Rattus norvegicus: one gene and its partner. The protein of the gene in region 2 interacts with the protein of the main gene of each other region in a pairwise test. Links are inferred from orthologs where the notes say so. Each region holds a gene or a part of one and is shown on either strand. Other genes may lie near its edges.

Evidence for each region. The genes of interacting proteins can lie anywhere in the genome.
Region 1: the proteins of Cep126 (region 2) and Hmox2 interact in a two-hybrid assay, tested with the Homo sapiens proteins (2 studies listed by BioGRID and IntAct). The link is inferred for Rattus norvegicus from reciprocal best matches to the Homo sapiens genes CEP126 and HMOX2.

Annotation. Positions count from the first base shown.
Region 1 is NC_086028.1:11,334,813-11,339,052, forward strand, and holds the start of Hmox2 (heme oxygenase 2), read right to left. Parts: upstream 2,801-4,240; 5' UTR 2,694-2,800; exon of another isoform or gene 2,484-2,693; intron 1-2,483.
Region 2 is NC_086026.1:13,549,279-13,553,755, forward strand, and holds the start of Cep126 (centrosomal protein 126), read right to left. Parts: upstream 2,944-4,477; 5' UTR 2,705-2,943; coding exon 2,592-2,704; intron 1-2,591. UniProt on the Homo sapiens protein: Participates in cytokinesis. Necessary for microtubules and mitotic spindle organization. Involved in primary cilium formation.

The DNA of each region.
Region 1 (4,240 bases), on a different chromosome or scaffold from region 2:
ATAAAACATCATGCACACACACAATTTTGTTGTTACTGTTTCAAGACAAGGTTTCTCTGTGCAGTCCTGGATGTCTTGGAACTCTTTCTGTAGTCCAGGCTAGCCTTGAACTCAGAGATCTGCCTGCCTCTGCCCCTAAGCGATGGAATGAAAGGCATGCGCCACCACTGTCTGGCTGCTCCTGGATTTTCAAGTAGATTTATCTTGCACCCCAACTGCAGCTCAGATACTACAAAAAGTCTGAAAACCAATGCCTGGCTACAAATTTTGCCATGCAAGAGAATCTCTATTGCTAAGATTTGATAATTGGGGGTTGGAGAAATGGCTTAGCAGTTAAGAGCACTGCTCATAACTGTCTATAACTCCAGTTCCAGGGGATCAGGCACTCTCACACAGACACAAACGCAGGAAAAACACCAATGCCCATAAGCAGCTAAGGATGTCCTCGAACAACTCCAAATGCTGGGATTAAAACAGAAGATCATCATCTCTCATACCAGAGAAATTCCCACTGGTTGTTCCCCAAGCCTCAAAAAAAGAAATACATTTAACTTTTTACTTAACTATGGCCAGTAAGATTCAAAGAAGCATATCTGGGGTTTTAGTTTGTTTCGTTTCTCCAAGGAGTGACAACCGAAACTACGAATTTTGCTCTGAATTATGCAATTCCAGTTTCTAAAAGATCTGCCTTCTGGGAAGGTGATGCTCCAGTTTTTGGTGCAATACTGATGCAAAGTCCTTTAGGATCAGCTACTAAGGGAAAATTTTTAAAAATCAAGGTAGGCCCAACTATGAGAGTCTGCAAGTTTGAAAACTTCTAAGTTAAAGACAATTAACATTTGACCTCTGCAGCTCAGTGGCTTTATCAATTGCAGAGCACTCGTATTCGCTATATCTCAACATCTCAACTGACTGCCCTAAGCAAAGAAAAAAAGAAATTCAAGGCAAACCAGAGGACCCTCAGGATTTCCTCTTCAGATCCCCAGTGGGATCAGGTCACTCAGTGAGCATGCAACTTTCCAAGGCTCACGGACCTGCAACTCTAGTCAGTGTTTTGGCCCGGGCACTTTATCAGAAAATGTTTACAATTTTATCAAGTGAATTTATAAATATCCTACTGAACTGGGAACTCCTAGCAAACATATCATGTCTTGTGATGTTTCTGGGGAAAAAAAAAAACCTGAATAAATACTTTTTACTCTTCAAAGAAACTAAAAACATTGATAAACGCTGTAAACAAAACATACAGTTACCTCCCGGCATGATGTACACACCTTAATCCCAGCACTGAAGAGGCAGAGGCGATAGGGTCTCTGTGAGTTGAGGCTTATCTATAGAGCCAATTCGAGGACAGAACTAAATAATTTGAGAGATCCTGACTCAAAGGGGTAAAAAAAAAAGATTTAGGCTGAGTTCATAATCCTAGCAGTTAGAAGACTGAGGCAGGAGGATCTCAAATTCAGTCAGTGTAGACTACATAGCAAGATTTCCTTCTCAAAACAGAAAACACAGGGTAGTGTTGAGGGTTCACTAGTAAAATACATGCTCATCATGTTCAAACTCCACCACCACCAAAAAAAAAATCTTTATTAATAATAATGTCACATATTATATGATGTTTATAATAACTACTATAAACATTAGCACCATACCAGGAGCAGGAAAGCACAAAATCTCCTATACGGCTGGACTGTTTAAGGCTAGTATGACCACTTGAACAACATAACCATTTCTTATCTCTAATCCACTTCTGAAAAATCACAGGATGCCCAAGCAGAACTGCGATCGTCTGTGCCGTTATCTTGCCCGTGGGATATTAGTGGATTTACTTCACGAGTCTCTCAATAATCTCATTTTATAGGTGGTGAAACACTCAAGGACTTAGAAAGGATTGAAGAGCAAACGCTCTCCCTCAATGGGACATTTCATGGTGTTTATGTCTCTCGGCAACACTCCCTCTGGTTGAGTTTGTGGCGCCAGCACTAGAACACAGTAAGGATGAACAGCCACAGGCCACAACAACTGGTCCTTCAGAACCGATTTAAATGGCATGGCTCAGACAGCCCTTGTGCAAACAGTGTACAAGGCGGTCCCGGCAGTTTTTACAGGGCAATTAAGTCACCTGGAGACCTGTGCTTTGGAGGTGATAGGTGACCTCCTGGTCCAGACCAACCGGCTACATCTACGGCTGAGTCTTGCACTCCGCACCACAGGTCACTCACTCATCAAGTCCCTAAAGGGATTCTAAGGGTTCTTGGCACCGAGGGGAGCCACTGAAGGCCGGACCAAGAAGGCCACCACGCCCCAGGCTCCTCTGGGACTTCAGGTAGGCTGGACTGCTGCACTAACTTCGACCCCGGAGTCACCTCCTCAAGAGTATTCGTGACGCTGGGAGGAGCTGTGCCCTACGGGAACACCAGAGGACTCAAGGGGATGGGGCTCAAAGGTCTTCTAGAGCGCGATGTCCGCAGTTTCGGGCTCACCTGACGCTCAAGGCCCGCTCGGTGCCCCCTCTCCGACCCCTAGTCTCCTGCTCGCTCGCCCGCTTCAGCCCGCTTCCGGCCAGCCCCCGCCCGATGTCCCCTCAGGCTGAGGGCGAGTCACCGAGAGAAAGCCGAGCAGAACTTTCGAAGAAGGCCTCCGCCAGGTTAGGACCTGGGAGGGGAGGACTGGGGACCGAGCGGGCCACTCACCCTCAGCCGCTCTGTAGGTCAGTCAGTCTCCGCGTCAGCGACTCCCTCCGCACCGTCGCAGCCGAGCCGGCGAGCGCGAGGACCGCAGGGCGGCAAGACGGCAGGACGGCAGGACGTGCGCACGCAGCGAGGGGCGGAGCCATAGGCCACGCCTCCAGACGCGCGGCAGCTAGCAGGAGGCTCCTGGCCAAGCTGACACTGCCTTCCAAGACTGCTTCGGGAGTGGTAACATTAACCCGAGAGGAAGGAAGCGTGTCAGTAAAAGCCAACTGTTTGTTGATCGAGAATCGGGGCTCGGGGCAGGAGAGATGGTTCAGCAGTTAAGAGCACTGACTGCTGGGCTGGAGAGATGGCTCAGTGGTTAAGAGCACTGACTGCTCTTCCAGAGGTTCTGAGTTCAATTCCCAGCAACCACATGGGATACAATGTCCTCTTCTTGTGTGTCTGATAGCTACGGTGTACTCAGATAAAAATAAATAAATCTTTAAAAAGAGAGAGAGAGAATCGGGGCTCAAGCCTGGAATCCTAGCACTCGGGGGAGGAGTGGGGGGACAGGGATGGGACTGAGGCAGGAGAATTCAAGAGCAACAGTGTGAGCATTTATCAAAAAGACAAAAACACAACAGGATTGGGGATGTAACTCATTGGAATACAATTATTAGATCCTTAACACTGCAAAAAGAAAAAAAGAAAAAAGAATGAACGCTTTGCAGTGACATCATTTTCTTGCTTATCCTCTTATATCTGTGCATGTATGTAGGAGCCAAGTTAACCACTTGGCACTTAACACACAAGCCCCTTGACAACTTGGCACATAACACGCGAGCCAGCCCTAGGAAGTTCCAGTACAAACGATCATCTTCACTCAGGTCTCTGTCCACCTCTGCTAACAGTCCCCTGTCTGTCTTCTGTGTGGACCTTGTTTGTGGGGACTAGAGATGTAGCTCGGAGTAAGTAATGCTAAGGATGAGGGGCCAATTCCATTCCCAGCACCTACGTTGGTTGTCTAGCAACTGCCTGTAACTCCAACCTCAGGGGATCTGACGCCCTCTTCTGGCCTCTGCTAGCACAGGCACATACCAACACTCAAGTGCGGCTAATTCAAAAATAAAACAGCTTTCTTCTTTCTTTTTCTTTTCTTCCTCCCTCCCTCCCTCCCTCGCTTCCCCCTCCCCTCCCTTCTTCCTTTAAGAACTCACTTAAGTAGCCTAGGCTGGCCTCTAGCGCAAGGTCCTCCTACATCACAATACCCTATCATCAAGCCCAACTAACAATTCCACTTCTGGGTAGCTATTCCTATATATTTGTATATTCTATATACTTTTATAGTGAAAATTTTACTTTCTTTAAAAACACAGAAAAGTTATGTGAATAGGGTTTTTTGTTTGTTTGTTTGTTTGTTTTTTATATATGAATGCTCTGCTGGACTTACACCCACATGCCAGAGGAGGGCATCAGATCCCCTTATAGATGGTTGTCACCCACCAACCGTATGGGTGCTGGGAATTGAACTCAGGACCTGTGGAAGAGCAGCCAGTGCTCTTAAC
Region 2 (4,477 bases):
GTTTTCCTCACGAGCTGACAGTCAAAGTTGGTTTGGATAATGTAGACTTAAAACAAATACTTACAGTAATGTTAGGGTATTATGATTATGATTAACACATTTGTCAAAATGTGTTAATTTCAAGGGCTTATAGTATTTTTGTGTCAATATTATAAAGAAACTATTATCTATTTCAGAATAATCAAATGTATATGAACTCTTATCTGAGCCTTACCAAGGGAGCTTGTTTTTTAACAGTTTTGTCATTTTTATAAAGTTTCTTCCTCCACAGGCTAGAGTTCATTTTGCCTTCATTTCAACTAGAATTCAGTACCACATCAATATGAACTCAAAGACACACATGTTTTTAAAGGTGTTTTCTGAAGGATTTGTAAACATGTTAAAAGGGGAGGAAATATGGTTTTGAACAGTATAGAACCAAGTTTAGCTATATCTTTTTCTTCTCTAGTTGAAAGCTTTATTAGGGTCAGACTTCAAGAAGATGGTTAGCTTTTCAAAGTCACAAGTCATCAGTAGAGAAAAATACAGCTTTCTCCTTTCAGGAGAACACTGTAGGAAAGACAAGCTTAAGTTACTTTGGATCAAATGACAAGGACAGGGGACAATGCATCACATGAGAACTATTTTCTTCAATATGTTTAAATTTTATCCCAAGAACATACAGAAAGATTACAAGTGTAATGTCCTGACATGTATATATTTCTAAATTATCTAGACAACCCTACTACATATAAACTCTAGTTCCTGTATTAGCATATATACTATATAGCATATATAGTACTATATTATGATCTTGCTTATTACACATAAAGAATGTTTCTGCCCAGCATCTGACGAATGGTATTGAAGTTAAGTTTTTACATAGATGCTTAATATTTTTGTATGTATTATCAAAACAACTCACCCTAACATCTACTGTAAAGAAATATAATTTTTATATAGCTAACATTACAAAATAAAGAATACTATGGTCATTTATGTCCTCATTTAGTCTTTCTCCAATTAGGTTATCAACACAAGTAACTATCATACAATGTATTCTCCTTGCCAGATCTAGTCAAACCTCTTCCTACTGCCTCCACTTAAAAACTCTCTCAGTCTCTTAGAACTTAACTACAGCGGTACTTATAAATTTTGTCTCCTTACTCCTACTTGCTCTGTTCAATGTTCTTATCACATAAATTAAAAATGGTATCATTAATGAAAATAATAGAAGATCAATGCTTTGTCAACGAGCCATTTCCTTGTATCCTGATTTAGAGACAAATTAGGACAAGGTAGTAAGAGTTCATTCAGTGTATAAGAAGATACAGTGCCTTTAATCCCAGCACTCCAGAAGTAGAGGCAAGCATCTCTATGAATTCAAGTCCAGCCTGGTCTACAGATCAAGTTCTGGGACAGCCAGGGATACACACACACACCCCTCAAACCAAACCAACTAACCAACCAAAACAACGTCAAAAATGAAGAGTTGAATTCAAAAGACAGTAGCATTCACTCTAGAGCACACTCTGAGAAGACAGTTTGTGGCAGCAGCAAGAGGAAAAGGCAAGACAAGAAGACAAGAGCTAGCAGCTGCTACTGCAGGCTACTGTCCGGAAGAATGAAGAAAGACCCAGGGATAGAAGCTTGGGGATGAGTCCCTGGGGACAGAGTGTTTTGGCATTAATGGAACCCTAACATACCTGCATCCTTAGAACCCAGAGGAAGGTCAGCGGGAGAGGAGACCCTCGGTGAAAACTGATGATTTGCTGTTAAAACTGTAAGAGCATATCCTAGCAGAGGTGGGACTAAGGGGCTAAGGAAGTGGAGGGAGGGTGGTAGTGGTGGAAGGGACCCACGTTTGAGGAAAGAGAAGGGACTCCATTTCCTGAGAAAAACAGTTGAGCAAACATCATCCTCACCACCAGCCAGTCTTCTGAGAATACCAAGGGTAAATTCTAATATAATAATGTTCTCTGGAAGAAAAAAAAACTGCTTTATGTACTTAAAAAAAAAAAGCTTATTGTCATTTTCACAATGTTACCAACAGTAACATCAAATGGGAGTTCAACGATTTCTTAGGGAAAAAATCAGAAATAATCCAGATTATCAAGGTTCAGGTCCCCTGCTTTCTTCCCTTCCTCTGTTTGACAAGAGTGGGCAGAATTGAAGACAAAATGATCACAACACGCTAGGGTTCTGCAGCCCTAGGAGGGGTGTGCGGCTAACAACTAAAACGGAACAGCCCAAGATTTTAGCCTCTGGGCAATTTTTCTTTCTAAGGAGCCTGAATAAGACTTACGTCTCTGTAAGTAAAGGGTAAAAACGCTGTAATTCTAAAACGCGAATCTTCGCTCATCCAATACAGGACCGGTGTATTTTAAAATCTACAAAAATCTGACAGCCAAGTCCAAGTAAGGGTGTGCGAAGCCGGGGAAAGAGGTCACAAACAAAAGTCGACCAAGTGTAACTTCAGGTCGGGGGTGGAGTAGGGTAGGGTGGGTGACAGCTGCTAAAGCAAATATCCGCACTGAAAATGACTTGCCAGTTTTCATGCCCCTGCGTGCGTGCTCCCGGAGCGGGGAGGGGGAAGGGCGTGGAAAGGATACAGGTAGGCGCCGGGTCGCGGTCGCCCGCCGCTGTCCCGGGCGCCAAGCGCGTCCCGGGGTCCGGCGCCCAGGCCCGCGCCTGCGCTCTGGGCTCCGGGCCTGCCCGCCAGCATCCTTCACCTAAGTGCCGCCCGCATGGCCGCTCGGCCTTCCTGGTCCTCTCCTCGGCGCTCCGGGCCGCGCGTCTCCAAGGCCCCGCGTCACGGGCGTCGCAGGCTCGGCTGCAGCAGTCCTAGCTTCGCAGCGGCCCCGGCGACTGTGGCGATGGCAGCGGCGAGGGAGGCGACCTCGCGGGGCGACGGCGGAGGTAGCGGCCGCGACCCCGCCGCAGCCATCTTGACAACCAACCGACGCCGCGTCCTTCGCGACGGAAACCAGGCGGAACGCGGGGCGGGGCTGGGAGGAGGAAGCGGCCAATGAGGTGCCGGCTGGTTCAAAGCCCGGCGGAGGCAAGCTGAGGTAAACTGAGGCGAGCCGGGGTTAAACCGAGTCAAGTTGAGGCAAGCTAAGGTAAGAGGAAGTAGCCTGAAGCACACTGAGGTGAGATAAAGAAAGCTGAGGTAAACTGAAGTAAACGAAAGAAAGTTGAAATAAACGGAGGCAAGCGGAATTAAACAGGTGTACTGAAATGAGATGAGGTAAACTGAGGCAAACTGAGATCAAACCTAATTAAGCAGAGGCAGGCTAAGGTAAACTGAGGCGAGCTGAGGTTTACCTGAATTACGCAGTCAAACTGAGGCAAACCGAGATTATACCTAATTAAGCAGAGACAAACGGACACAAGCAGAGGTACACTGAGGAAAGATGAGGTTAAAGCGAGTTACCATTTACCAAGATAAAATGAGGTAAACTGAGTTATACTGACTTAACTAAGGTAAACTCAGGTAAGGATGTTAAACTGAGATGTACTGAAGCAAGCTGAGGTAGAACTGAAGTAAACTAAGGCAAGTTGAGTTGGGCAGATGACTCGCAGTTGGGAGAGAGCCCAGCTGAATATACTTTAGAGCTTGATTCGGTTCTACCCTTTTATGAGGTTTTTTTTTTTTTTTTGTATTAACAGATGAAAGACAGTGAATGGAAAATTCCTAGATACGGGCAAATATTACAGACAGTCTGGAAATGATTATTTGGGGCACAATTGTTAGGTATGGAATCCTGTGGTGAACTTCGAAATGGTGAGACCTTTCCCATTATCACTCTCTTCAAAACCACCGTCCCTTGAAAAGGAGGGGGAGGGGGAGGGGGGAAAGAAGAAGAAGGCGGGAGGAGAAGGAAGAGGAGGAAGAGGAGGAGGAGGAGGAGGAGGAGGAGGAGGAGGAGGAGGAGGAGGAGGAGGAGGAGGAGGAGGAGGAAAGAAGAAAGATAAAAAAGCTTTGCAAAGTGGAAAATTTCCTTCCCTACTTGCTCTCATTTATTCCTTGATACTTGGACCGTTCTCTCTCTGCTGTCCTACTTCACATCAAATGATCCTTATGGTCCTTGCTTGGCTGCCAGAGTCTGCAAATGGACCATCACAGCAAAAGTGGCCTGAAAAGAAGTCCAGATTTAGCTTAATAATCTCCTGGGACGATATGCCAAAGAGATCTGTGTATTGAAATGGTTTCTGCATGGAAAATTAAGCAGTTTTGAGCCACTGGGTTAATGGCTATATAAATGAAAATCTGGAACAAAGTTGGGCCTTTTTGTTGGGGCCCAGTGTAAAAAAAATTTTGACTGGATCTTAGGTTTACATTTTAATTATTATTTTTTTTTGTGTATAAAAATTTCCAAATTGCTAGCAGAATGTAGATCAAAGAAAGATACCCACCGGGGTTGGGGATTTGGCTCAGTGGTAGAGCGCTTGCCTAGCAAGCATAAGGCCCTGGGTTCGGTCCCCAGCTCCGAAA